Linked DNA regions of Nothobranchius furzeri. The protein of the gene in region 3 interacts with the protein of the main gene of each other region in a biochemical or structural test. Links are inferred from orthologs where the notes say so. Each region holds a gene or a part of one and is shown on either strand. Other genes may lie near its edges.

The links.
Region 1: of the proteins of cdkn1a (region 3) and dtl, one has a biochemical effect on the other in vitro, tested with the Homo sapiens proteins (3 studies listed by BioGRID, with this or other methods). The link is inferred for Nothobranchius furzeri from reciprocal best matches to the Homo sapiens genes CDKN1A and DTL.
Region 2: the proteins of cdkn1a (region 3) and sex comb on midleg-like protein 2 form a complex in vitro, tested with the Homo sapiens proteins (2 studies listed by BioGRID and IntAct). The link is inferred for Nothobranchius furzeri from reciprocal best matches to the Homo sapiens genes CDKN1A and SCML2.
Region 4: the proteins of cdkn1a (region 3) and cdk2 form a complex in vitro, tested with the Homo sapiens proteins (9 studies listed by BioGRID and IntAct, with this or other methods). The link is inferred for Nothobranchius furzeri from reciprocal best matches to the Homo sapiens genes CDKN1A and CDK2.
Region 5: of the proteins of cdkn1a (region 3) and akt1, one has a biochemical effect on the other in vitro, tested with the Homo sapiens proteins (2 studies listed by BioGRID, with this or other methods). The link is inferred for Nothobranchius furzeri from reciprocal best matches to the Homo sapiens genes CDKN1A and AKT1.
Region 6: of the proteins of cdkn1a (region 3) and casp3a, one has a biochemical effect on the other in vitro, tested with the Homo sapiens proteins (3 studies listed by BioGRID). The link is inferred for Nothobranchius furzeri from reciprocal best matches to the Homo sapiens genes CDKN1A and CASP3.
Region 7: the proteins of cdkn1a (region 3) and parp1 form a complex in vitro, tested with the Homo sapiens proteins (2 studies listed by BioGRID). The link is inferred for Nothobranchius furzeri from reciprocal best matches to the Homo sapiens genes CDKN1A and PARP1.

What each region holds. Positions count from the first base shown.
Region 1 is NC_091742.1:7,898,061-7,901,560, reverse strand, and holds part of dtl (denticleless protein homolog), read right to left. Parts: intron 3,446-3,500; coding exon 3,372-3,445; intron 3,303-3,371; coding exon 3,196-3,302; intron 3,108-3,195; coding exon 3,003-3,107; intron 841-3,002; coding exon 728-840; intron 627-727; coding exon 537-626; intron 379-536; coding exon 255-378; intron 94-254; coding exon 1-93. UniProt on the Homo sapiens protein: Substrate-specific adapter of a DCX (DDB1-CUL4-X-box) E3 ubiquitin-protein ligase complex required for cell cycle control, DNA damage response and translesion DNA synthesis.
Region 2 is NC_091756.1:62,972,408-62,975,478, reverse strand, and holds the end of sex comb on midleg-like protein 2, read right to left. Parts: intron 2,878-3,071; coding exon 2,749-2,877; intron 2,455-2,748; coding exon 2,233-2,454; intron 2,144-2,232; coding exon 1,986-2,143; intron 1,915-1,985; coding exon 1,789-1,914; 3' UTR 501-1,788; downstream 1-500. UniProt on the Homo sapiens protein: Putative Polycomb group (PcG) protein. PcG proteins act by forming multiprotein complexes, which are required to maintain the transcriptionally repressive state of homeotic genes throughout development.
Region 3 is NC_091743.1:46,701,408-46,704,575, reverse strand, and holds cdkn1a (cyclin-dependent kinase inhibitor 1), read left to right. Parts: upstream 1-1,500; 5' UTR 1,501-1,631; coding exon 1,632-1,634; intron 1,635-1,768; coding exon 1,769-2,219; intron 2,220-2,301; coding exon 2,302-2,357; 3' UTR 2,358-2,668; downstream 2,669-3,168. UniProt on the Homo sapiens protein: Plays an important role in controlling cell cycle progression and DNA damage-induced G2 arrest. Involved in p53/TP53 mediated inhibition of cellular proliferation in response to DNA damage.
Region 4 is NC_091743.1:49,085,331-49,088,152, forward strand, and holds the end of cdk2 (cyclin-dependent kinase 2), read right to left. Parts: intron 2,420-2,822; coding exon 2,342-2,419; intron 2,259-2,341; coding exon 2,138-2,258; intron 2,045-2,137; coding exon 1,874-2,044; intron 1,790-1,873; coding exon 1,688-1,789; intron 1,598-1,687; coding exon 1,394-1,597; intron 1,300-1,393; coding exon 1,195-1,299; 3' UTR 501-1,194; downstream 1-500. UniProt on the Homo sapiens protein: Serine/threonine-protein kinase involved in the control of the cell cycle; essential for meiosis, but dispensable for mitosis. Phosphorylates CABLES1, CTNNB1, CDK2AP2, ERCC6, NBN, USP37, p53/TP53, NPM1, CDK7, RB1, BRCA2, MYC, NPAT, EZH2.
Region 5 is NC_091758.1:33,910,168-33,913,667, forward strand, and holds part of akt1 (RAC-alpha serine/threonine-protein kinase), read right to left. Parts: coding exon 3,484-3,500; intron 3,345-3,483; coding exon 3,279-3,344; intron 2,858-3,278; coding exon 2,789-2,857; intron 2,209-2,788; coding exon 2,083-2,208; intron 838-2,082; coding exon 709-837; intron 1-708. UniProt on the Homo sapiens protein: AKT1 is one of 3 closely related serine/threonine-protein kinases (AKT1, AKT2 and AKT3) called the AKT kinase, and which regulate many processes including metabolism, proliferation, cell survival, growth and angiogenesis.
Region 6 is NC_091744.1:19,575,380-19,579,425, reverse strand, and holds the start of casp3a (caspase-3a), read right to left. Parts: upstream 2,801-4,046; 5' UTR 2,663-2,800; coding exon 2,598-2,662; intron 1-2,597. UniProt on the Homo sapiens protein: Thiol protease that acts as a major effector caspase involved in the execution phase of apoptosis. Following cleavage and activation by initiator caspases (CASP8, CASP9 and/or CASP10), mediates execution of apoptosis by catalyzing cleavage of many proteins.
Region 7 is NC_091742.1:4,979,624-4,983,744, reverse strand, and holds the start of parp1 (poly [ADP-ribose] polymerase 1), read right to left. Parts: upstream 2,801-4,121; 5' UTR 2,677-2,800; coding exon 2,554-2,676; intron 853-2,553; coding exon 687-852; intron 399-686; coding exon 283-398; intron 192-282; coding exon 1-191. UniProt on the Homo sapiens protein: Poly-ADP-ribosyltransferase that mediates poly-ADP-ribosylation of proteins and plays a key role in DNA repair.

The DNA.
Region 1 (3,500 bases), on a different chromosome or scaffold from region 3:
GGGCACAGGCAGCAAGCAGAGGTGAGGGGAGACCAGAAAGACTCCTCACTTCCCAGTCTTTCAAAGGCGTCGTTTCAGGTCTGAGTGAAAGACCTGAACAGCAAAAGTCACACCAGTTCAGCTCAAACCATTAGCCTACTCAATCATGTAGTGCAGCTTTAATGTTTTTGCCGGTGTTGCTCAGAAAGTGATAACTGGATTTTCATCTAGAACTAATTCAATATGGTCGCCACAGATAAACAACAAGTACGTACTGGTGGGAAGTTTAGGTCGTGCCCAGCCTACAAGGTTGGCCTCCCCCACCGATGACTGTGGATCATCAGTTTCCCTGTGAAGTCTCCATATCCGGACAGTGTGATCATCGGAGCAGGAAGCAATCTGTCAACAGAGCAGAGGGGGTAAAAAAAGTAACTTTTTAAAACATAAAAATAATCAATCAAAACAGTTCAAATGTGAAAAAATAAACATTCTTGGTTAAGAAATTTTGTATTAAAACATTACATTCTGGTTCATCACCCTGAGGTTTAAAAACATACTTTGGCAAAATCCGTTGGACACCAAGCGACAGATGTCACTTCCTCGCTGTGACCCTGAAGCGTCATGGGAGGACGTTGAGGATCAGAAATCTGAAATGTTATCAAGTAGTTTTTATGCTCTGCTCTTTGATAGAATCAACACGAGGAGAGAAAAAAAAAAAAAAGATTTAGGCGCTGGCGTAAGGCGGTACCTTCCAGATGTGAACGTTGTTGTCACTCGAGCCACTGGCCAGGAACTGGTCGTTGGGGCTGATGGTGGACTTCACATAAAACGAGGAGTTCTGGTGTCCACTGAAAACTGCCACTGTGTGAGCAAACGTGATTCAGAACTTCAGGCATTAAAGCCGCTATAACAAATCTACACAACAAGCTAGGCTTCAACCTCAAACACAGTCACGAAACACTCATCCCTCCCCTCGAGTATCTTCCCTAAGGCTCTTCTGCTGGAACTGGAAACCCACTACGATGGACAAAACGAGATATTGCTAAACACCAGTCGCTGTTTTCTAGGTCCAAACGTCTTTTGTTGTCTGTGATTTCAAATGGTGTTTATATTTTCAGAACTTTGGTAGATTGTCTAAAAGTTGAAGTGGTAGCAGCCGGCTGTTTCTCCTTTTCTGATATTATTGAGTGGAGAACCTCTCACACCAGTGGTGTTCTGTTGCTAAATACGTCAGTGCGTAAAGAATGGAGAACCCAGGAAAGTGTGGTGGTTCTGACAACTGGATGGTCCTATGGTTGCTTTTGGTCCGAAGCATGTTATTGGCCCTCCGCCAATCAGACAAATGTAAGAGAACATTTTATTAATTTTTTTATTATTTTATTAAATTTATTTATTTGTTATAAATGCAGGGGACTGTTCTGTTCTGGTCCTGCTGGACCTGACTGCAGCCTTTGACACTGTTGACCATCACCTGCTACTGGAGAGGCTGAGAGACTGGGTAGGCCTATCAGGATCTGCTCTGGAGTGGTTCTCCTCTTATCTCTCTGAGCGCTCCTTTTCTGTGGCCGTCTCCAAGTTTAGGTCCTCCACCACCTCTCTTACCCATGGTGTCCCACAAGGTTCTGTGCTGGGGCCTCTGCTCTTCCTCCTCTATCTGCTTCCTCTTCAGCGCATCCTGAGCTCCTTCAAAGTAATCTCCTACCATCTTTATGCAGATGACATCCAACTGTACATCTCCTTTAAGCCCCATGAGATGTCTAAGCTGCAGCTGTTACACACCTGCTTAGACTCTACGAAAACCTGGATGGCTGGAAGCTTTCTTCAGCTGAATGAAGATAAGACTGAGAACCTCATCTGTGCCCCAGACAAGCTGGTTCCCAAAGTCAGAGACTCTCTTGGTCAGCTTGCTTCTCACACCAAACGTTCCGTCAGGAATCTTGGCGTGACCTTTGACCCAGCTCTCACCCTGGATTCTCATGTCAGTTCTCTTGTTCGCTCTTCCTTCTTCCATCTCAGGAACATTGCTAAGCTGAGTCCCATTCTGTCCTCCTCTGAACTTGAGACAGTTATCCACACCTTCATCTCCTCACACTTAGACTACTTTAACTCTCTTTTCACGTGTCTGAGCAGAACCTCCCTGAACCGTCTACAGCTGGTTCAGAATGCCTGTGCTCGGCTTCTGACCATGTCCTCCAAACACACCCACATCACTCCGCTTCTCCTCCAGCTTCACTGGCTGCCAGTCAACTTCGGGGTTCATTTCAAGATCCTGGTTCTGGTCTATAGGGCCTTACATGGACAAGCACCATCTTACATTGATGATCTTCTTAGTCCCTACACCCCCAGCAGGTCCCTGAGGTCCAGTGATCAAAGCCTACTGGTTGTGCAGCACCAGGCTAAAGACCAAAGGTGACAGATCATTTGCTGCTGTGGCCCCCAGACTCTGGAACTCTCTCCCCCTGAGCCTGAGATCAGTGGACTCAGTGGACTCCTTCAAAAAGCAGCTGAAGACTCACTTGTTCAAGCTGGCTTTTGTATGACCTTCTTCACCACTCTCTCTTTATTCTGCTCTCCCCATCTATTCCACCTTCCTCAGGATCCACTGATTTCCCTCTTTCCTGTTCACTCTCTCTCTCTTTCTTAACATTTTTTCTTTTAAATCGCAATTGCTTATTCTTGCTCATTTTAAATATATTTTTGAACATTTTTGAAATGCTTTTTTATATTTTTACAATTTTTATATTTTTTGTTATTGGTTTTTGTGAAGCTCCTCGTGATTTTTATCTTGAGAGGCGCTATAGAAATGATATTTTTTCTTTCTTTCTTTTCTTTCTTGTTGTGACAAGATCTGAAGATTTAAGTTTCCAAAAAAAAAAACAACTAAAAAGCATCTCAACTTCTCCCTTCTGGTGCTCTGCTCCCCGCCAAAGTAAAAGCACAAACCCTTAGCACCATCTAGTGATTTAAAAGCAGTAAGGAGAAAACGGTCTCTGTGCCAAAGATATAAAACCTGTCCTTGTTACCTGGTGATGTTTTAATCCCACACACGTTAAACATGTAGATGTTGTCATCTGTGCAATTGCACATGACGTTGGATCTCGAGGAGTCCAGAACGAGTCCGGAATAACCTGCAACATTAATTTCAGTTCATTTGGAGTCTTTTGGATATATATTTATATATTATTAATATGTTGATCTTTACAGAGCAGGACCGACCCAGACGCATGCGTGTGCAGGTGCCAGAGTATGGATAAGTCTGCAGAGGAACGGGATCGTGGCGACATGGGCTGTAGCTCTTCCTCAGATCCCACATTTTTATTACTCTGAAAGGGTGGGTGGGGTCATTTTTATGGTCAATTTTATTTTGACGAGCTGAAGAGTTGTGCGTTTACCCATCAACAGCTCCTGAAGAGATGAGTGTGTGTTGATCCCGAAACAAAACCACAGTCACACTCTGCTGAGTATCCTGGGAAAACAAAGATAAGAGATTTTTGTCGTACCAGGGAAAAAAAAGATAATTC
Region 2 (3,071 bases), on a different chromosome or scaffold from region 3:
TAACGGGAGGTAAATGCACTTTACCTGTCCTGTTTATCGGAGGGAAAAGTTCAGTCTGGCTGAAAGTTGGAGCAATGAGACAAACCATCAGAGCAAAATGATAGATCTGTTTGTCTTTACACCTTCATGTTGTCGTGGGTAGTGCAACCACGTATTAGCATAAAACTGCTAAAAGTAGCCTTTAGCTCGTTGCTATTCTTGTATGAAGCTACAAACATCTTCCCGGGGTCGCAGGTCACGCTCTCTGTGGCATCCTAAACCAGAATCAGACTTATTAGAAATTAAAGACAGATTTGTCTTTTAAAGAGACATTTGTCCTTTTTTCTATTAAGGAGTGTTTTCATTTGCTAGAGAATTCCCATTAGGGCACAGATATGGTTCTTCTGAGCCAGCCGGGTCGAGCCAAAAACATTTCCACATGGTTCTTCAGGGAAAAACAACCAAACAAAAATAAGAGTATTTTTCATACCTTGGTTATGGCATGACAGAAGATGCACACGTGTATAAACACAACCTTTATCTGGTGTGACATGACGGACGAGCAACAGTTTGCAAAAGTACTTTAAAGATGCAGAAAAGAAACAGTCAGCACTTTGATCCTGTGTGGAGTACATGGCACAAGTTTAAAGTGTAGAAGGTGAGGATGGGTAACTACAAACATACGTTACAAAAACTACTAAAAGCACAGAAACCTGAGAAATGCCTTCGAGCAAGGCAGGGTTTAGAAGTGAACTAAAAGCACTGTTTTAGGTCTCTGAAAACCAGCGTTAAATACTCGACCCATCACCTTCTAGCTTCACATTTCTGTCTTACGTATACAAATTCCTTAAAATATTACGTTTCCACAAAATGTACATTCTGCTGCTGATATTCATGGTTAAACCCATAAAACTGTACACAGTACTAAAAGTGATTGTAATGGTCGACTGTAACAACACTGAGGTCTTGGGCAGACCAGCACATGATTCATAAAAAAACAAAAAACCACGAGGAGCCCTTGGAAATGTCATACCTAAACATTCTCTCTCTGAAACGGATCGAAGCCGAAGGGTTGAGTTTGCAGAACACGCTAGACGGGCACGAGAACCCAGCAGGAGGCTGCTTCAGACCAGCGAAGACACAATAACTTATAAAGACTCACAGCAAGTAGTGACTGTGCAGGACAGCGACGGGAACGCCTCCGTCCAGCAAGACCGTATAACTCACGACCAGAACCAGGACGAGCAGAGAAAACGTCTCGAGCTGTGTGGCGACGTCGGCGTCCTTCAGGCAGACGGAGACTTTTAGGCAAACACGGAGCAAAACCAGCTGGACAGACACGAGCATCAAGTTCTCTTAAAGAACCAGGAAGAACGTTTGATGTGTTTTAAAACTTCTCAGTATGCTTACCCTTTTCTTAGTGAGTATAAATTTAACAATAATAAAAACATTTTATAAAGAAGAAACATTCTCCATCTTTGGGGATCCAAACCAGGATCTAAACATTTCATTTCCATTAAAAAAATGTCTGTGCACGCGTTATGCGATGTAAACACTGCAGGGGTTTCTCTGCTTCGGGGTTTCTTTGAGTCCGTCGCGTTCGTTCCACTCAAACAGCCATGTGTGCACGAATGAGGGGATGAGGTCATGTGTCAGCAATGCATGGCACACTTTGTCCACTCTGGAAGTCGGGATGAAGGTGTAACATCTAATGCGTCCCTCCAGGAGAAGTCCGGTGTAACGCGTGACCCCTGCATGACCTGAGTCAGGATCCAGACGTCCTGCTGGCAGGTCTGGTCCTGACGCTCGTCACAGCTTGCCTTGCTTCAGCCGCTCTATGTGATGACATAACTTGAGCGCAGGTCCCAGTTTCAGACCCATGTACTTCATTATCATGTCGCTCCGTAGAAGCATCAACGCTTTTCCATCGATTTCCTGTAGCGACGAAGAAGGAGACTCAATAATAAAGACTAAAAACAACACCACACGTACCAACTTGGTCTTACATGTTTTCTGAAGAGTTCAGCGTGAGGCGCCAACGCGGTGGGGTCTGCGTCCCGGACAAACTGCATCACCTCTTCGATGGACCAGGAGGCGGGGTTTTTACCGGGAAGACTCTCTCGCTCTGAAACCACAGAGTCGGGACCTGTGGTGGAGCTGGCTGCTGCCAAAGCACACACGTCAGAGAACCAAGCCTCGTAGCAGGACAAGCGCCTGCAGCTAACGTCCTACAACCACCCAACCCGCCCGTACCTTCCACTCGTCTCAGAGGCTGAGGGGAGCTGAGCTCTGCTGGGTTGGAAGAATGGCGGCGCATCGGTGTGCTACCGCCACGGTGATAGAGGCTTCTGGCCTGGGAGTGATACTCCGAGGTACTCCGCATCGTCTGGGGTCGGGGGGTCATGGAGTTGGACGCAGAATCCATGTAGCGCTGCTCCTTCATCAGGCCGTTCTCTTCATGTGGAAGAGTCTCTGCTGGAGGGAGGAAGACACACAAAGTTTTAAAACACCGCTCAGTGATGTCCACATACATGTAAGTACACAAAGTACTTTTGAAAATACTACAAACTGTGTACTGTCCTGCAACAGCAAAGTGTTGCTTGTCTGTAGATCCAACGTCTGAAACTCTGATTTATGAAATGGTTTTACAACAAACACGCTGATAAGAGGTAGACGGGAGGACTATAAACCCCCCCCCCCCCCCCCCCCACACACACACACACACACACACCCCCACACACACACACCCCCACACTCAGGGAGCTATACCTTCTGAAGGGTGAGCCTCAGCTCGTACGTGTTTGGGAGAGAGGGGCGCTGCATACGGGGGGGAGACTCCTGAAAGGCAGCGTTTACTGCCCCGAGCCAGAGTGGGAGAATCCAGCGCTTCTTCTTTCACTGAACCAGACACAAGGAAACACTTATTTTAGGCTAACAGTTCACAACTCTGCTCACCGTTTGCTGCAAGGAATGGGCGTAGCGATAAATACGTGTGCTAAAACAAAGAGTTTTTTCAGGGAATTCCCGCTGCTTTATGATTATTTAAAGAAGGAAACAGAATTTTAAATCAGAGAAGACTTCTCTGGAGATAT
Region 3 (3,168 bases):
GCTGACTCAGTAGACAACAGCTTTAAAAGAGAGGAGATTTAGAAGCGAACTGCACCTGATTTGGCTCAACATGTAAGTAAAACACATTAAAGATGTTATTTTATATGTAAGAAGTTAGTAGTTGTTAAATTTAAAAGAGCTTCTAAGCATCTGAGTAAGATTTATGATTTCACAACCTTTAAAACTCAACACACACACACACACACATATATATATACACTTTTGTAGCTCATTAATAATTGTATTCTAAACATTTGAAGAACAAAAACGTTTTTACAGGACTAATGTGTTCCTAGAGGTGTGAAAAGTTGACATAAATGGATCTTTGCGATCTCATTTTTGCACATCCAGGAAATCCATAAACTCTTGTTTGGTGGTTTTAGTTTTTTTTACATGTCTGTGTGTGTGTGTGTGTGTGTGTGTGTGTGTGTGTGTGTGAGAGAGAGAGAGAGAGAGAGAGAGAGTGGGTGAGTCCAAACTGTGACATCCCAGTTTGACACGAGTTCCAGACTCACGTGGAGCAGAGTTGTAGCTGAACTGGGCTGGGTCCAACTCAGTCATGCATGACTAGCTCTCCCGCCAAAGCTTGAGTCACTCCTCCCAGAACCACCCTGCCCAGTAAAAGAAACGCCCTCCCCCTTCCTCTGTGGGACCAGGGCAGCGCAGGGATCCAGCAGGGATCCTTCAAACCCTTTTATTAACCTAATGATCCACCCACAATTGGGGAGCTTTATTCTGAGCCCTGTGCTGTGGGTGGGAGCGTTGAACACTGCATACATAGTCTTAGTGGTCATTAGATGTGTCCAACAAACCCATTTTTTAGTAAACTCTGATACAGACTGTAGTCAACTGACTTTACTACGTAGATAATTTTGATCAAAATGCAAAGGGCCCTTCTTTTTCTCATGAACAAACCAAACTGAACTCCATGATAGGAGCCAGATCAAGCTAAAATAGAGACATATTTCACTCTCATATTTTATGAATCAGAAAAAAGGGTTTGTGCTTGTGTTTGTATGAAAATAAAAATCAGAATCATATCAGATTATAACAGATGACTTGTTTCATTGACACATTTTTATTTATAACACTAATCAGTATTTTACTGAAACGCATCTTCACGTCAAATTGAAGCAGATTTTTCCAGATTCCGTTTGCAGATAACTGGAACAGCTTCTGTAAAATAAGCTCGTGTCCTCTTAATCACTGATAACGTATTTTATTCATCTCCCAATCTCATCTGCTGCACCGTAACTGGACGGGCAGGGACTGTTTTCCTTGAATGCTTCCTTCCTTCTTGGATGGTCTGAATGACCTGTTTCCCAGGTCAGAGTCAGAAAACAGTCACATGTTTCCCTCAGTTTCAACGTAAACTGAAGATGAATTATTTCTCTGGTGTTTGCCTCCGAGCTGTCTGTAGTCGGAGTGACAGTGCCACCTTGTGGTTTATCTCTCTTACACCAAACACCACAACAGCAGAGGACTTGCCCTTACATGCCTGTGAGAGATTATGCCCAGACATGTACCAGAGAGGAGGGCTAGTGACTCACTGCTGCTGCTGCACTGCATTATAAAAGCCCGTCAGCTCACAGAAGCAGTCTAGTTCACTGAGGAGCTGTTAGGCTAGAACCATGGTGAGTCTGACTAAACTTTGTTTAAATCACTGGTTTGAAAATATTAAAAACATTTAGTTTGTGTACTTTTTAGACTGTGGACAAAATAGATTGTGGCTTTTGAAACTAATCAGTTTTCCTGTTTTTACCTACAGTGCAGAGGGATGGCTACACTTCACAAGCGAGCCCTCAGTACTCTAAGAAGGAACGGTCCCCCTCGGCGGAGCCTGTTTGGCCCAGTGGACCGAGAACAGCTCCAGATGGAGTACCGGACTGCCCTGCGTAAAGATCTGGAGGAGGCTTCCCAACGCTGGGGGTTCGACTTCTTCTCCGACAAACCTCTGGAGAGCGGTGATTTCCAGTGGGAGATTGTCCCAGGTACCAGGGTGCCACTGCCCTACAGATCCAGCGTCATCTGTGCAGGACATGCAGAGGGTCAAAGGTCAGCAGGTGCAACCAAAAGAGGAAGGGTGGTGGTACCAGAGAGGGAGAAAGAGAACTTCCCCCAAACTCTAGAGAAATGTTCTCTGAGTCTGGAGAACATGGAGACAACATCAGAGACGGAAGACAAATCAGGAATGAAGAGGAAACAGACAAACATTACAGGTATGTTTAGATATTTTTTATATCAAATTAGAAACACTCATCTTTTCTCATAAGCTAAGTATCCTCTTCTTTAACCCAACAGATTTCTATCAGGCTAAAAGAAGAGTTGTCTGGCTGCCGAGGAAATCCGGGGAGTGATATTTCCTTTGAAGGTGCCAAAACTCCCAAGAGAACCAGACAAAGAACCAGCACCTCCTTCAGGAATCAGTTGTTCCACACCGAGCAGCGGGAGTGCTGAATCATCCAACAAAAAAAAAACAAAAAAAAGAAAAAAAAAACCCAGAAGGCACCAGGCTAATTAAGATGCTGCATGTGTGAGGGGTCTGGTGTTTTCTGTCCACGCTGCAGTTAAGAAGGTGACATTTGAGCAGAGAAGATTAACAGTAATCTCTGGAATCAGTGGATTTATACTCATTTGGACTGAGAGCTCGCCAAATTGCTGACTGACATTTGTTACGGCGCGTCACACAGCTCTTAACCCTCTCGGTCTCGTTTTGATAAAAGGACGAACAACTAAGTCCTTCAGGGGTGCTTCTGAGTTAAAAAATGCTCATGAGATACTTGTGTGGAGTAACCAGGTAGGTAGGTTTTAACTGTTGCAGATCTGCGATGCCTGCCTCCAGAGGGTTAAAACACAATCACATCTCAGTTTGGTGGGACTTCTGCCTGTTTGAGGATGAAAAGCAGACGTGCGAACAAATATCAGGACTCAGATTAATACGTTTCTGTGGCAAAGCCGCAGGAAAGCTAAAAACAGGAGAGCTTTGTCTATTTTGTTCAAATCTATAATTGTTTTTCTACGTCTTTTTATAGGAGTTTTTTTTTTAAGTGCATTATATTTTACATCGGGGGTTCCCAATCCTGGCCCTGGAGGGCTGGTATCCAGCAGGTTTTGTGGTTTTTCTGCTCCAACAGACTTGATTCAGTGGTTGAAACGCCTGTGCAGCAG
Region 4 (2,822 bases), about 2.4 Mb from region 3:
GTAATCTGGTGTGAGAACCTGCTAGCTGGCTAGCACTATTGTTTTTTTTTTTGAGTGCATGACCACATCTCACTTATTGAAATGCATTTCTAATAAAACAGCTTTCTTTAATCTACCCAAATCAGTTTTCTTGCTTTGCTTGTTTTATTTTATTGTGATTTATTATTTCTGATTAAACATGAGCGTCACCTGCAGGTTCCATCTCGGCTCTGACCAGAAAACGCTGTTGTTGTGTCCTTGGGCAAGACACTTAACCCGCCTTGCCTGCTGGTGGTGCCCGCCAGGCCTCGCCTCTGTCAGTGCACCCATCCCCACTGCTGTGTGAATGTGTGTATGACGGATTGTATTGTGAGGAGCCTTGGGGGGTTGTAGAACCCTAAGAAGGACACAAATAGAGGCCTTTTACCTTCACTATAAAACCTAAATAATGCCAACTACACAGTGGAAACATCAAAAATGTCACCATTTGATTTGACAACAGCCATAAAACCAGAAACAAGTGCTGAAACACATTTATTTTGTCTGAATGTATATAAACATCTATAAAAACTGTGCATTGAGTCTGGATAAAATCTAAAGATACAACAGCAAAGTTTGTTCTGTAAAATGTCGTAGAACACTTGTATATCAGAACCGTCGCTTCAAAGATGACATTTTAAAACCACTTCCAGATATTTTGGGACCAAACGCTGCTTGAACCTGGAGGATAATCGTACTAATTTTAACTTCTTTAAGCACCAACCATGTAATATCCCCCCATTTTTCCCCTGGTTGCAGCTCAGTTTAACATCGTTTATAATTTACACGATCCCACAAATTTGATCAAATGAAATTCTAATCCAGACATTTTGGATGATGGCATCCACATGCGAACATACCATTTAAATTAAAGAATTCAGTGAAAGGCACTGATGTGTCTCTCCGACGTGAACTCATAGATAATCACAAGAAACAGATCAAATATAGCACTTGCACATAAATATGCAAAATATAATTAGAAATTACAGTTAAACACTTCAAACTTTGATAACATCAGAGTTGGAACTTCCAGGAAAACCAGCTTCTTGAACGCGGCTGAAGAATCATAACGTATCCTGTAGTGTGCATCCCAGGCACAGAACTGAAGCAAGGCATGGTGGTCCTTATTGCTAATGAGATTATTGGCATTTAAAACAGCCTGCTAATTTGCACAGATTAAAGTCTCAGGTGAGGAACTGGCATGGTGACGTCCCGGAAGAATCGATGCACCAGTGCATTTTTGGCAGAAATCCTTTTGTTTGGGTCGTAGTTCAGCATTTCCTAAAAGATAGAGTCAAAACAAAGTAAAAAAAATGACTGGTATTACCATCTGTAAGATGTACAGCAGAATGAGGGAAATTATTTCGGTTCTTACTCCTAGAAGTTCCCTTCCATCCTCATCAAGGAGAGGAACCACTTTAGACAAATCCTGTCGAGCCCACTTGGGGAAAGATGGTTTGTAGTCTGGCATGGATGTGACTCCAGGCCAAACGGTCTCATCAGGCGTTCCCAAGGTTCGAAAGATTCGGAACAACTGGTCTATCTCAGAGTCGCCGGGGAATAAAGCCCTCCTGGTGATCTGTGGACACAGGTGTACTAGTTAGATGTCAACAACACTCCACATCACACAAACGCTGTTTATTTTGATTTATGAGGCTGTGTTTATCACCATTTCAGCAAAGATGCACCCCAGACTCCAGATGTCAACAGCTGTGGAATAGTATTTGCAGCCCAGGAGGATTTCTGGTGCTCTGTACCAAAGTGTTACCACCTGGAAATTCAGAAAAGTGGTTTTGTACAAGAAGCTAAAAGAATAAACTAAGCTGTCCTGATAAAACCCACTTAGACAGCTTACCTCATGTGTGTATGTTCGTACGGGTACCCCAAAGGCTCTCGCCAGGCCAAAGTCAGCCAGCTTGATCTCACCTTGGGCGTTGATGAGCAGGTTTTGAGGCTTCAGGTCTCGATGAAGAACTCTGTGGGAGTGACAGAAGGCCAGGCCTTGCAGCAACTGGAAGAGATAACTCTAAAAGAACAACAAAAGTAAGATCAGATCTAATTTGCACAGAAGATTCAATCCTAACATTTTGAGGACTGACAGTCACAAAGTGATGACTACCTTGACCAAAGGCAGCGGGATTCCTGTGACTGAGGAGGAATCCATGAACTTTTTCAGATCCTGATGAAGGAACTCAAAAACAAGGTAAAGTTTGTTCTCCGTATGGATGACGTCCTGGAGTCTAATAAAAAAACAAAAACAAATGATGACAGTTGGCAACGGTTCAGACGTGCTCTGGCCGTGGCTCAAACACTAAGAACTTACTTGACAATATTTGAGTGACTGAGTTCTTTGAGGAGTGAAATTTCCCGGATGGCCGTGCTTGGTACGCCTTCTGTTTCTCTGCATTAGGGACAAACAAACCAGAGCTTTACACCAAAACAAATAATGACCAGCAAGCAGGCATTGCTGAATACAGTAGTGATGCACCGATATGAAATTTTGGGCCGATGCTGATATTAAAATCGCTGTTATGACCGATAACCGATATTTGCCTAGACTGTTATACTGACATTAATCTGTCTAAAATCAACAGATTTTGTATAGAATGAAAATTATTAAAGCTGAATTTACCGTATTATGTACACACACAACACACACATGCTTCTGAGATGATTTCATTCACTGTCACATGACTAAACAAATACACATCACCCCCTCACCCTCTGAAACAGATAAACAAATGGAGACAAGATTGAAAAAATATCGGTTGTTCATATCGGCCCACTTTTATTTATCAGGCCGA
Region 5 (3,500 bases), on a different chromosome or scaffold from region 3:
ATGTGTTAGGAGATCGTTTTGGGCCGTTCCTGTAAAAAAAGTGAGGCGCGAACCGGAAAAGCGTCTGCCGATCACAATTCGACAACGGATTATGAAAGAACGGATAACGCTCGAAACACACAGATTCTTCCTGATGTAAGAGGTGAGTCTCCTCTTTGTTTTGGCGTCGACATCATCCTAGCGCGCAACGTTCTGTGACTCTTAAAAAAACAGTAAAAACGGTGAGAAACGCTGGCAGCGAAGGCTGTTGGCGATCAGGAAACGGCCAGCAGTGAATGAGTTAAAAGCCACATATTGTTGATATTGAATCAGCAACAAACCACTATGAATGGCTTATTTTGATAAAACTCTTAATTTATGGCCTGTTAGTGACAGAATGACAGCATTAGTAATAAGCTGTTAATAAGTGCTTAATAATGACTAGTTCAGACTTAGTTGTCCACTAATATGCATATTAATTGGCAGCTAATTAATGGTTAATTTGTGTTCCCTAAACTAAAGTGTTACCAAAGTTTTAAACTTCATATGCAGGCATTCATCTTTCTCAATCCAGACAAGCAGGAATTTAATATACTGGATAGATTTGTAAAAGAAAAACACTCAAACACCTAAACTCAGAACTTACACAGTCTTTGTTATGTTGTCACCAATTTAGTGAAGGTTGCCTGCTGTTAAAAACAACGTAAGTAGAGGTAGATTTGTGTTTACCTCAGGTGCAAGGTACTCAGGTGTCCCACAGAAAGTTTTCATAGTGGCACCGTCTTTGATCCCCTCCTTACACAGACCGAAATCTGTGATCTTTATGTGTCCGTCTTTGTCCAGCATGAGGTTTTCCAGCTAAGGAGGGAAGAAAAGGTTTCGTTTTCTACATGAAATCAACTTTCATCTCCTTAATACAAGATGCAGTTTGTACTAACTTTAAAATAAAAACATACAAACGCGTGTGTGTATTTTGGCCACAACTGTTGTTTTTGCTCCTTTTTACGGGTTTCTTAAACACAATGTCGTAACTCTAGCTCTGTCTTTATTCCTTATTCAAATGTAATATTTAGATAATCCGTACATCTTAGTACAAAAATAATTATTTAGATGAAAACAATCCCTTTATTCTGTCCTTCTCTTAACTGAAATTAGAAAAAATTTGTCAAATTTCCTCCGTTTTGAACTTTTTATTCAACTGAAGCATTGATTTAAATTATAGTGAGAAACAGACGAGCTCAGAACCATCAACTTCACGACTAAAGCAGCAAACTCCACCCTCTTGGCTGCCACTTCCTTAAATACAATTCAAAATCTGTGCCAAGTAAAAATTTACTCAAAGTGGACATCATTCAGTTCCATGACGTGAGGTTGCTCATTCTGGCCCTCACCCCCCTCCAGATAGTCACCTGACAGCTGTAGCTCACACGTGGCCAGCAGCGCCCAGCCAGAGTCAGCACATCCTCCAATCCTGCTATCCTGGCATTTTCAGGAGAACCCTCGCAGGCTGGGAGCCTGCCTCGTAAAACCCCAGGGAAGGAAACCGGGGGGGAGGGAGTGTGTGCTGTGCTGACCTGGCTGGTATAGTTTTATCTGCTGAAAGTAGTATGCCTACAGATGCCCACTGCAGCATTTATAACCCACCTAAACAACAAGATGCCCATCAATTGCTGCACTGAAGGATTCTGGTTCTGTGTTTCCCTCAAATTCAGAACTAGAAGCCAAAAACATCTTAGCTGGAGACGAAGGATGGTTTCTGTTAACAAAATTAATTATTTTCTACAGCGTCAACTTATAAAACGGTATCAATTACAAAGTGCACAGATATCACCCACTGGGCATCGAATGCACGCTATAACTGGAGGAGGTCGCAATCTGTTCAAAGAGCCTGGTGTTTACTTCCGTCTCTCTGCAGTAATGTATGGACCAAGCTCGTCTCCAGCTGCAGTGAGGCCTGGAGGAAGCAGATCAATAAGGCTTGGCCACGGCCACTGCTCAGGAGGAAGATAAACCCTTCCGAAGGACGACGGAAGGAAGCGAGAGCGAAAAAATGAGTAGAAGAGGCCAGAATGGACAAAGGCGAGCGCACAATTTCCCGCTTACCTTTAAGTCACGATAAACCACGTTCCTCTCGGCGTGCAGGTAATCAAGCGCCGACACTATCTCTGCTCCGTAGAACCGAGCCCGTTCCTCGGAGAAAACCCGGTCTCTTGACAGATGGAAAAAAAGCTGAGGAAACGTAGGGGAGAAAACGAGGATTCAGTAATTGTCCAGAAGGGAGAAACTGAAGCCATGTACACACGTAGCCGACTACCCCCCCCCCTCCATTTAGGAAGAAAACTTGGGTCTCGTTTTGGGCAAAATAATCTAGCACACTGTGAAGCACATTCGTAGGCATCCCAAGCCTGTAGGGGACGGTAGTTCCCCAAATTGTTGGCGTCTTTGCCGAAAAACATTCCATGGATGTGGAATAACAAGGTGGCAGCCAACAGCCGTCCTCAACATCGTCTTTCACCTGCGTCTTCTTCACCAGAGCAGCCACCGAGCTAATAAGAACAAGGAGGTAAGTGTAAACAGGTCACACATGTGACAGTACAAAACCTAAAACCCAGTTTTTTATGTCCACAAGCACATGCTGACGATGGAGAATTCACAAATTTCCATTTTGGTCCGGGTATTTGAAAGATTCGCGTTTGGTGCCCTGGATCTTCACTTTTGCGTGGATGACAGAAAATATCTTTGTTTAGTGGGATACCCGACTACGTGTGTACAGGGTCTTAGTCGTGAGGGCACCGGTAAAACGGCCTACCTCGCCGCCGTTTGCATATTCCATGACGAAGCACAGGCGGTCGTGTGTCTGGAAGGAATATTTGAGTCCCTGCAGAAGAAGAACATGTTTAAAGCAGAACTTGAGGTTTAGAGAGAAATCAGGAGGAAGCTGCCCTTTAAAACAGCTGGAAACAAAATGCATTTTAATACAAAGAACTGTGGGAACACCCAACCAAAAAGGGAACATCAATGATCCGATTTGTGGAGGTTTTAAAGAACCGTTGTCATCTGGTCTACATTGAAGCCGATGCATTATGTCTCCACCTGCCAACCCACCTCTTAGTCAAAAAAAAAAAAAAGGGGGTTAACAAATAAAAAACTAAAAGCCCAGTGTTGCTATAAACAGGCACATCACTTCAAACACTCCAGCCCAGATTTTCTGAATGGATTCTGCTGGACTGGACTGAAGAGGTTCCTGAGGATTTCTGTGGGTTAACGTAAGGTTTTGGGTATACGGAGGGGCTCCTTACAGTCAAGAACGGATGCTTTGAATTCTGGAGGACCCTGTTCTCTGTGAGTGTGTGCGCCACTTCATCCTGAAAAAGAAAAGCACAAAGAGTGTTTGTGCAAGTCTCACAATAGCTAACTATTTAGGTATCAGTCATTGCGCCGCTGCCCTCCTAAACCCGAGTAGCTTTCACCCCTTTTTCACTCGGCTCTCTGGCAACCACTCACTTTTGCTACGATCACCT
Region 6 (4,046 bases), on a different chromosome or scaffold from region 3:
TCTTCAGCGTCACTCCCCCCCTCTGTTCTCAACAAATGCGTCTGACTGCCTCTATTTGGGTCTCTCCGTCCCTCCTTTTTGCTCAGGGGCCCCTTTTTTTGTTTCTCCTGAGGACCCCACTTGGACCTGCAGGCTCTTTTAATGTGACCCCTCTTGCCACAACCGTGACATCGTTCAGCTGCAAACCTGCACTCAGTGCCCAAGTGTCGGCCGTTGCAACGAAAACAGCTCAGACTTTTCAGCTGAGCCTTGTCCATTAAAATCTTGTGGACTGTCCCCTGACTCCTTGACACACGAGAAGCTGGAGTCACCTCGTCCCCCAATATCTCCTGCAAGTCCCGAACATCCTTAGAGGCAGACTCCATGGCCTGGCACAACGTAAGAGCTTTGTCAAACGTCAGGTCCACTTCAGATAATAGCCGGCGCTGCATCCTGTCATCATTCACTCCACACACCAACCTGTTCCTCAGCATTTGTGGCAAAGCCGCTCCATAGTCACAGTGCTGGGCCAGTTTCCTCAACTCAGCCACATAATCTGCCACCGACTCCTCATGCCGCCGCACCTGTGAATTAAACTTAAACCTCTGTACAATCTCACTTGGTTTAGGACTGAAATGCAACCGCAGTGTCTGCGTCAACTGTACATACGTCTTGTCTTTCGGTGCCTCCGGGCTCAACAGGTTTCTTAACAAGCTGTAGGTAGCCGGACCTACACCGCTCAGCAACACAGCTTTCTTCTTATCAGTATCCGTTATCTCATTAGCCTCGAAGAAAAAGTCAAGCATTTCGCTATATTCTTCCCATGACTGTAAGTCGCCGTCAAACGGACTCACCGACCCAATCACCGCCGCCATTTTCCCCCTTTGTGTCGTCCAAAGGCGAGTAGATGTCCCGCTCCCAACACGTCCGGACCGACTGGCCGTCTATTCCCGACGCAGAGAACCACACCAGACTTTATCCTCGTCGCCAATTGTGTAATATCCTCAGGTAGACACAATTACATCCAGAGAGTAGAGTCTTGGTTGAACCTCGTTTATTGCTCATCACACCGAAAGCACCACAGCTTACGTTACACCCCCACAACCGGAAGTGCCCCGGACCTAGCTAAAACAGTACTACCAGAATGGAGCACTGGCTCCCCCTAGAGGTGTCATATAGTAGTTTCCTACCTCAACTACTACATAAAGGAAATACGCGATAGCCATTTCAGCTAGAAAGAAATACAAATGAAAACCATGGACCTCGCCCTTGAACACTAAGACCACCAGAGGCCGGATGCTGCTCAAGAACTGCAAGGACCCCAAACTCATCTCGCCAAATGTGCTGACCAGAGCCTTGGTGGCTGTGATGTTTGTCTTTGTGAAATACTAAAACATAAACCCCATCGTGGCACATGACTAGAGAGAATTTGGCCTCGTCACTTACTGATGAAAATGCTCACCTGAAACACGAGGCCAACTGAAATGAAATGGACTGCGTACCAATGCGATTGACTACAACTTTGACTACAACTTGATATCAAGCCAGGTGGTGACGAGGGATGTTCTGATTGAGAAAGGTTACCATCGACGAGAACCCCACTCCAAGACAGGAGGAAGAAGAGCATACCACCTAAGAATTTGTGGGAGGAGAGGTTTGATTGAGGTCAAAGATTTTAATTGCAATAGCCTGAAGCTGTGTTGCTGAGCATTGAGAAATGGTTTTGAGTATTTACAGCAATTAGCTTAAGAGCTATTGAAATAAATCACTTATTTTTTAATAAAAACTCTAATAGAAAGGATCAGAGCTTGTGAAATGTGAAAACAACTGCAGTGTTTCATTGGTCTGGCTTAGTAACACCACTGAGAAATGGTTTTGAGTTTTTTGACTGATTTACCAAGGAGCTATTGACAAAAAATACTTAATTTTTGATAAAAATCCTAATAAGAAAGGTTAGATCTTGAGAAATGTTATAAAAACTGCTGTGTCGTATTGGTCTGGCGTAGTAGCATCGTTGAAAAATGGTTTAGGTTATTAAAATCAATTAACCTAAGAGGTATTGAAAGAAATCACAGAAATTTTCATGAAAATCCTAATTAAAAAGATCAGATCTTGTGAAATGTGATGAAAACTGCTGTGTCTCATCGGTCTGGCTTAGTAACATCATTGAGAAATGGTTTTGTGGATTTAGACAAATTTACCTAGGAGCTATTGGAAAAAAAATCCCTTGATTTTGGAATAAAATCCTAATAAAAAAGATCAGATTGTGTGAAATGTGTTAAAACTGTTGTGTCTTGTAAATGTAGCTTAGTAACACAAGTCAGAAGTAATTGAGTCATTTAGCAAGTTATTCTGGAAGCTTTTAATTTTTTTGTACTCGTTTACAACGGACTACAAATTTGTTGATAGCCCCTAAGTGAACCACCGTTCCCATTAGCGAGTCCTCGGAACTCAGGTTACCGCTGTCTGTGCCGCAGTGCACGGCATGAAGGCTTATCGCTGACCGTGTAAACCAATGTCTGTCGAATATCCAACGTCCAACTTCAAGCTAACTTCACCGCAGTAGAAATATTAACCTGCTGCTGAGGCTAAAGGTCGCTACTAGCTTCGTTACTTACTGCTCTCTGCCGCTTTGCCTCGCGTCCGTACAGTCCGCTCCGGCTTCACTTCCATTGGCCGACATATTTCTTTGGGACAGAAATAGGTGCACCGAACAGCGAAATTGTACGCCCAGAGTGCCAGAGAGCTGATAAAAGACTACCAGGATACTTGTTCAGGCAGTAGCGGCGGCTCCTCCCTGCCGCCGTGATAAACAAAGATGCTGATGTCACGCAGAGGTGCGCTTGTTTTTCAAGAGGGGCAGGGAGAGGAGGGCGGCGAAACCACCGCGAAAGCCCATAAATTTCCAAACTTCAGGCATGATCCTCAGTCATAAGACTTGAGTTGTTCGCTATTGCATTACACCATTTCGTGAATATATGATTCTTCCTTACAATATTGTTGCATTTTTCAGAAACATTTAATCTTAAAAGTAAAATAAACTAAAGTAGAAATAAGAGCACCCTATCTGAGGTAACGCCACTAAGTAAATATTCTGACATTTAATTCAATATAAACACAATGGAGATTCTACATGTTGCATTAAGTGAAATTATAACAAAGAATGAAAAAAATTAATGATTAGGCACGGCCCTCAAGCCTGGCTTGCTATGAGGGTGGCATCGGCCTCCACTGGACCCCCCACCCCCCTCGAACCGCTACTGGTGAAACTCAATATTACTGTAGCACATACAAAAATGGCTATTATTGTCCACTTTTAACTCATGTTTGGCATTTATGAGAATTAGTGCTTGGCTAAAAGTCAGCAATGTGTCAATAATGTTACTATAAAAAATCCCAGGTGATCACCGCTCCACCCTTGCGCTTGATAGTTATTTGTTTGTGCTGAGATGTTCTGTCGAATTTTGACCAAATTCACCAAAAGTTTAGGTCAACATGCAGTCCTGTGTGTACATATAATAGACCTCAGATCATTGGGAAAAAAAACGGCCTTATGACCAACAGGTCAGTGGTTAGAATCATCACCGCGTGACAGGAAGATGTCAGGGTTGATCTAAAAAACTATTTGGAAACCAACAAAGGGAGATCATCATTTATTAGTTATATTATATCTGAAAACACGTAGGTACTGTGCTAAGTGCAAGAACACCTTGTCTTTTAAAGAGCAGTAAGAAATTGTGGCATCAAGGAAAGTGACAACCTCCACAGTACGAGGGCAACTAAAACACAAACTCAAAGTAACACAAAACAAGAGACAAAACTTGTAAACGCAGTTATTTCTGAAAATGTACTTAATACATCTAACCAAATGTTGCAGAAGAATCCTGTAATTTTTTCAATTTGAATTAGAAACCCACTTTAGCTTGTAAAGGCAAATCAAAGATGAAATAAATCTTTAAAGTGCTTCTTTGCATTTAGAGCAATTCAAAAACTGCACATTTGTTATATTTACATAGAAGTACTTGCAACAAGTTTAGTTGTCATCTCATTTTAAGTACACTTGAACA
Region 7 (4,121 bases), on a different chromosome or scaffold from region 3:
CTCTTCTTAAGATCGTTCTTGTCTTCGGCGCGCAGCGCGTCGAATCCCTTCAGCTGGGCGGCGGAATAATCGGGCTTAAACACCAGTTCCTCCCTGCGGCTCACGAAGCACGCCGTGTGGTACCAGCGGTCGATCAGACCCAGCTGAGGTTTCTCTGGGTCAACCGTTTTCTTGGAAACACGAATCTGATCCTGAAAGAGAAGCAAAAATACGGCAGACATGTGAAGTATTTATGACACGTGTTCAACGGTTATTGATTAAGACATTTCCTGTGCTGCGGACCTTTTCTATTTTTTGCTCGCAGCCTTTGCACGTGCTGCGGTTCGACTTGGCGTACTCCACGGCAAAGTTATTCAGAGTTTTGGCCCCTTGAGCGGCACCTTTTGAATCACTTTTCCCTGCAAGATGCAAAGGAAAATAAGTCTAAACATTTAAAAAAAATATGCATTAATAGTAAATGATAAATTAAAAACATTTAGAACAACTTGAGAAATGGCACTCTTTTGACTTTTTATGGATCACTTCACTTTTTTATCTGGCTAATAAGACAAAGTTAAACCAATTGAAAGTAGCTATCTTAAGCTCTTTTGCTTACGATCCAATCCAATTTTATTTATAAAGCGCATTCACAAGGCATTACAACCAAACAAGGCGCTGAACACAATAATTAAAGATCTACCACCGACCTGCTCCGACAGCTCCTCCAGTCTCAATAGCCTTTTTGACTTTTTGCTGGTCCTCCCAGCGAAGAGTGGAGAACCCGGCGATGTCTGCTTCAGTCTGAGCTGCCGCTCGCTGCCAGAAGCAGGAGAAGTGGTGCCAGTGTGGGACTTTCCCATCGAACATCGGGGACTGGAGGACAAAAACAAGACAATGAAGCAACAGCAAATATCAGAAAAAAAAGATGAAAAAAAAAAACAAAACCATTAAAGTGAGAATAAAGGTTTTTCTGTTTGAATTTTTCTGGTTTCTGAATTTGAATGTTGTTTTGTTGTTGGATTTCTGTGCTAGTCATGGATTGTTGTCGTTTCGTCTGACCTGCGGCCGCGTGTCTTGGACACTCGGGTGAAGAGAGGGGCGGAGCAGGCAACTGACAACTACCTGGTGGTGAGTTGGCTCAGATGGTGGGGGAGGATACCGGTCAGACCAGGCAGGCCCAAACGTATCGCGAGGGTCTGCTGGGAACGTCTGGCAGAGTCTCCTGTCAGAAGGAGCTTCAATTCCCACCTCCGACAGAACTTCCAAAATGTTCCGGGGGAGGCGGGGGACATCGAGTCTGAATGCACTCTTTTCCGTGCCTCTTTTGTTGAGGCGGCCGACCGGAGCTGTGGTCGCAGGATCGTTGGTGCCTGTCGTGGTGGCAACCCCCGAACCCGCTTGTGGACACCGGCGGTTAGGGATGCCGTCAAGCTGAAGAAAGAGTCCTAACAGGTCTTTTTGGCCTGTGGGACTCCAGAGGCAGCTGACGGGAACCCGCAGTCCTGCCTGGTGAGGTTTTCTGGGCACGTCCAACCAGGAGGAGCCCTTAAGGTAAACCCCGGACACGGTGGAGGGACTATGTCTCTCACCTGGCCAGGGAACGCCTTGGGATTTCACCAGAGAAGCTGGCCCAAGTGGCTGGGGAGAGGGAAGTCTGGGCCTCTTGACTTCGGCTACTGGCTACTACCCATCTCCGGATAAGCGGATGAAAATGGATGGATGGAATTTTTCTGGTTTTACATGACAAACGTTTTTTGTGCATTAAAAAAATTCAGATTTTACTCACGTTAAAAATAAAATCATGAATTTGTAAACAAGGGTTTTCACAATTTTGTCTTTAAAACTACAGATAATAATTCTGACTTACTTATTTAAACAAGTATAACAAATAAACATATTCACAAGAATGTCAATGTTTCATGCAGCCAGAACTAAAAAAAAATTGACATATTTTGCAGAAAATACACAACACACGGTTGGGTTTTCCAACAATAAAAACAAAAAGGAACCACTGACCTGATAATATGCATTACTGTAACTATTAAGACGTTACAAAAGAAATACTATATAGACTATATTTTGTGGCTGAAACTTTAAATGTGTGCAAGTGGTAATGAATTTTCCTTCCTTTTGCAGGGGTGAGTGCTGATCTGGACCCACAGACTGACCAATAAGCAGGAGTTTGACTCTTACATGATTATTTCTCTATTGCACAGACTGGAACAGCTGCTTGTGTGATTTTTTTTATCTATGTCTCTTGAGTGGAGGAGAGGATGGAGCAGTTGTATTCTGCAGCACACTGGATGGGTCTCAGACATTGTCCTAAGTCCCTCTGAGGCGATCCAGGCGGCTCTTTGTGAGCCAGATTCATTCAGTCAGCCATTTAAATGCTAACCGGGGGCCTCACTTAGCACAACTCAAACTCCTTTATAAACTACACTAGATTAGTTTAAAGTCTGATTATTATGGTTCTCTATATGCGCACATATGATTTAGATATCAGCACGGTTATAAAAGGCTTCATAACAGAATGGTTCCTTGGTTAAATCCCTCCAGACGTCGCTACCTCCTCACCTGCACCATGAGGGCCATCCTCAGCGAGTCCTTAGCTATGCTCTCTTTGCATTTCTTGCACGAAGCCCGGCCGCTTTTCGCGTATTCCGCCTTGTAGAGCTTGTCATCTTGGGAGTCCGCCATTGTTCCTTAATGTTGCAAACAAGCAAACAAAGCGACGTGATGAAGAGGGCAACTTTCTCCGATGCACTCTCGGAGCCACCACAACAATCACAGGCAGAGCGGCGGCTGCAGCCCGCGTGCTACTTGGAGAGGAAGCTCACGAGACGAGGTCTCACTCTGACTCCGATTTACAATCCACGTAAGTTTTAACTTTGTTTTAATGTACTTTGTGGTATATTACGTTTTAGTTTGTTTACGTTATGATTCGAGACATTATGATGATTCGTTTGGCCATTTTAAACTTCTGTGTGGTCCCCACCTGTTTGTATTTTTCTCTAATGTACCGAAAAAAATCAGGGTTGAGTTGTTACACTGTAACCACATAACAACTTTGTTTATTCTTAACGGTTCATAAAAGAGAGAAACATTTGGCCACTCTAACCCAGAGCTAGAGTAGCTCTGCCCTAACCTAAATCTCTGACGCACTGTGATTTTTATCTTGAAAGGCGCTACACACATTAACTTTTCTTCTTCTACCAAGTGGGGCATCTTAAGAGCAATATAGGATCAGTGAACTGGTTCGCAGAATTCCCGCGCGAGTTTCAGCCAGAACTAATGGAGCACAGATCAATCAGATTTTTACAAAACTAAACATGAAATTCTACATGAAGCAAAACTATTAAGTATGTTAATTATAAATATATTTACAATAGTTGCATTTGTTTATAGTTGATCACTGAGAACTAATGCGCAAACAAACAATTCCAAAGAATAGTTCTGCTTTAAGATTTTTATTTGCACAATTCACATTGAAAGTTTATGTAAAAAATAAACATACAAAATGTAAATACAATATGTGTTCATCAAATGAACTTCAGTCTTTTGAAAACAAAATTTTTAAAAACTATGACCTGATTATAAGGGCCTAGATAACAATTTGGGTTCAATAACGACAATAATAATACACTGATGGAGACTTTCATTTACTCGTCTTTACAATAATTTTTCACATAGTCATTAATTAGTAAAATTATTTCTAAAAAATCTTTGGGCTTACTAATAAATATAAAAACATCTTTAACTGTAAACAAAATTGGTGGAAAATAACTCACTAAAAACGTCAACCAGGGCTTTACAGGCCACTGAGTAAAATTCTAAGAGGTATTGTGTGTTTTGGCGTAGAGGTCTCACCTCTTGCTAGCACATTTTCTAAGCAAGCAAGAAAATGTGTTGGCTTTTCTTTAACTGGACAAAATAGCATAAACAACAACTGAAAACAGAGATTTCAGATGATGAAGTTAACCTATATTATGATGCTATAAATAGTTAATTTCCAAAGTAAGGTTTAGATGAGAAATCATAGATGATTTCACCCAAGACGGTCTCAACTCATTTAGTTTTATAGTGACAGGATGGATCAGAAGGAAAAAGGAGTTTGGCAAGACTTGATCCAACTAGCAAACCTT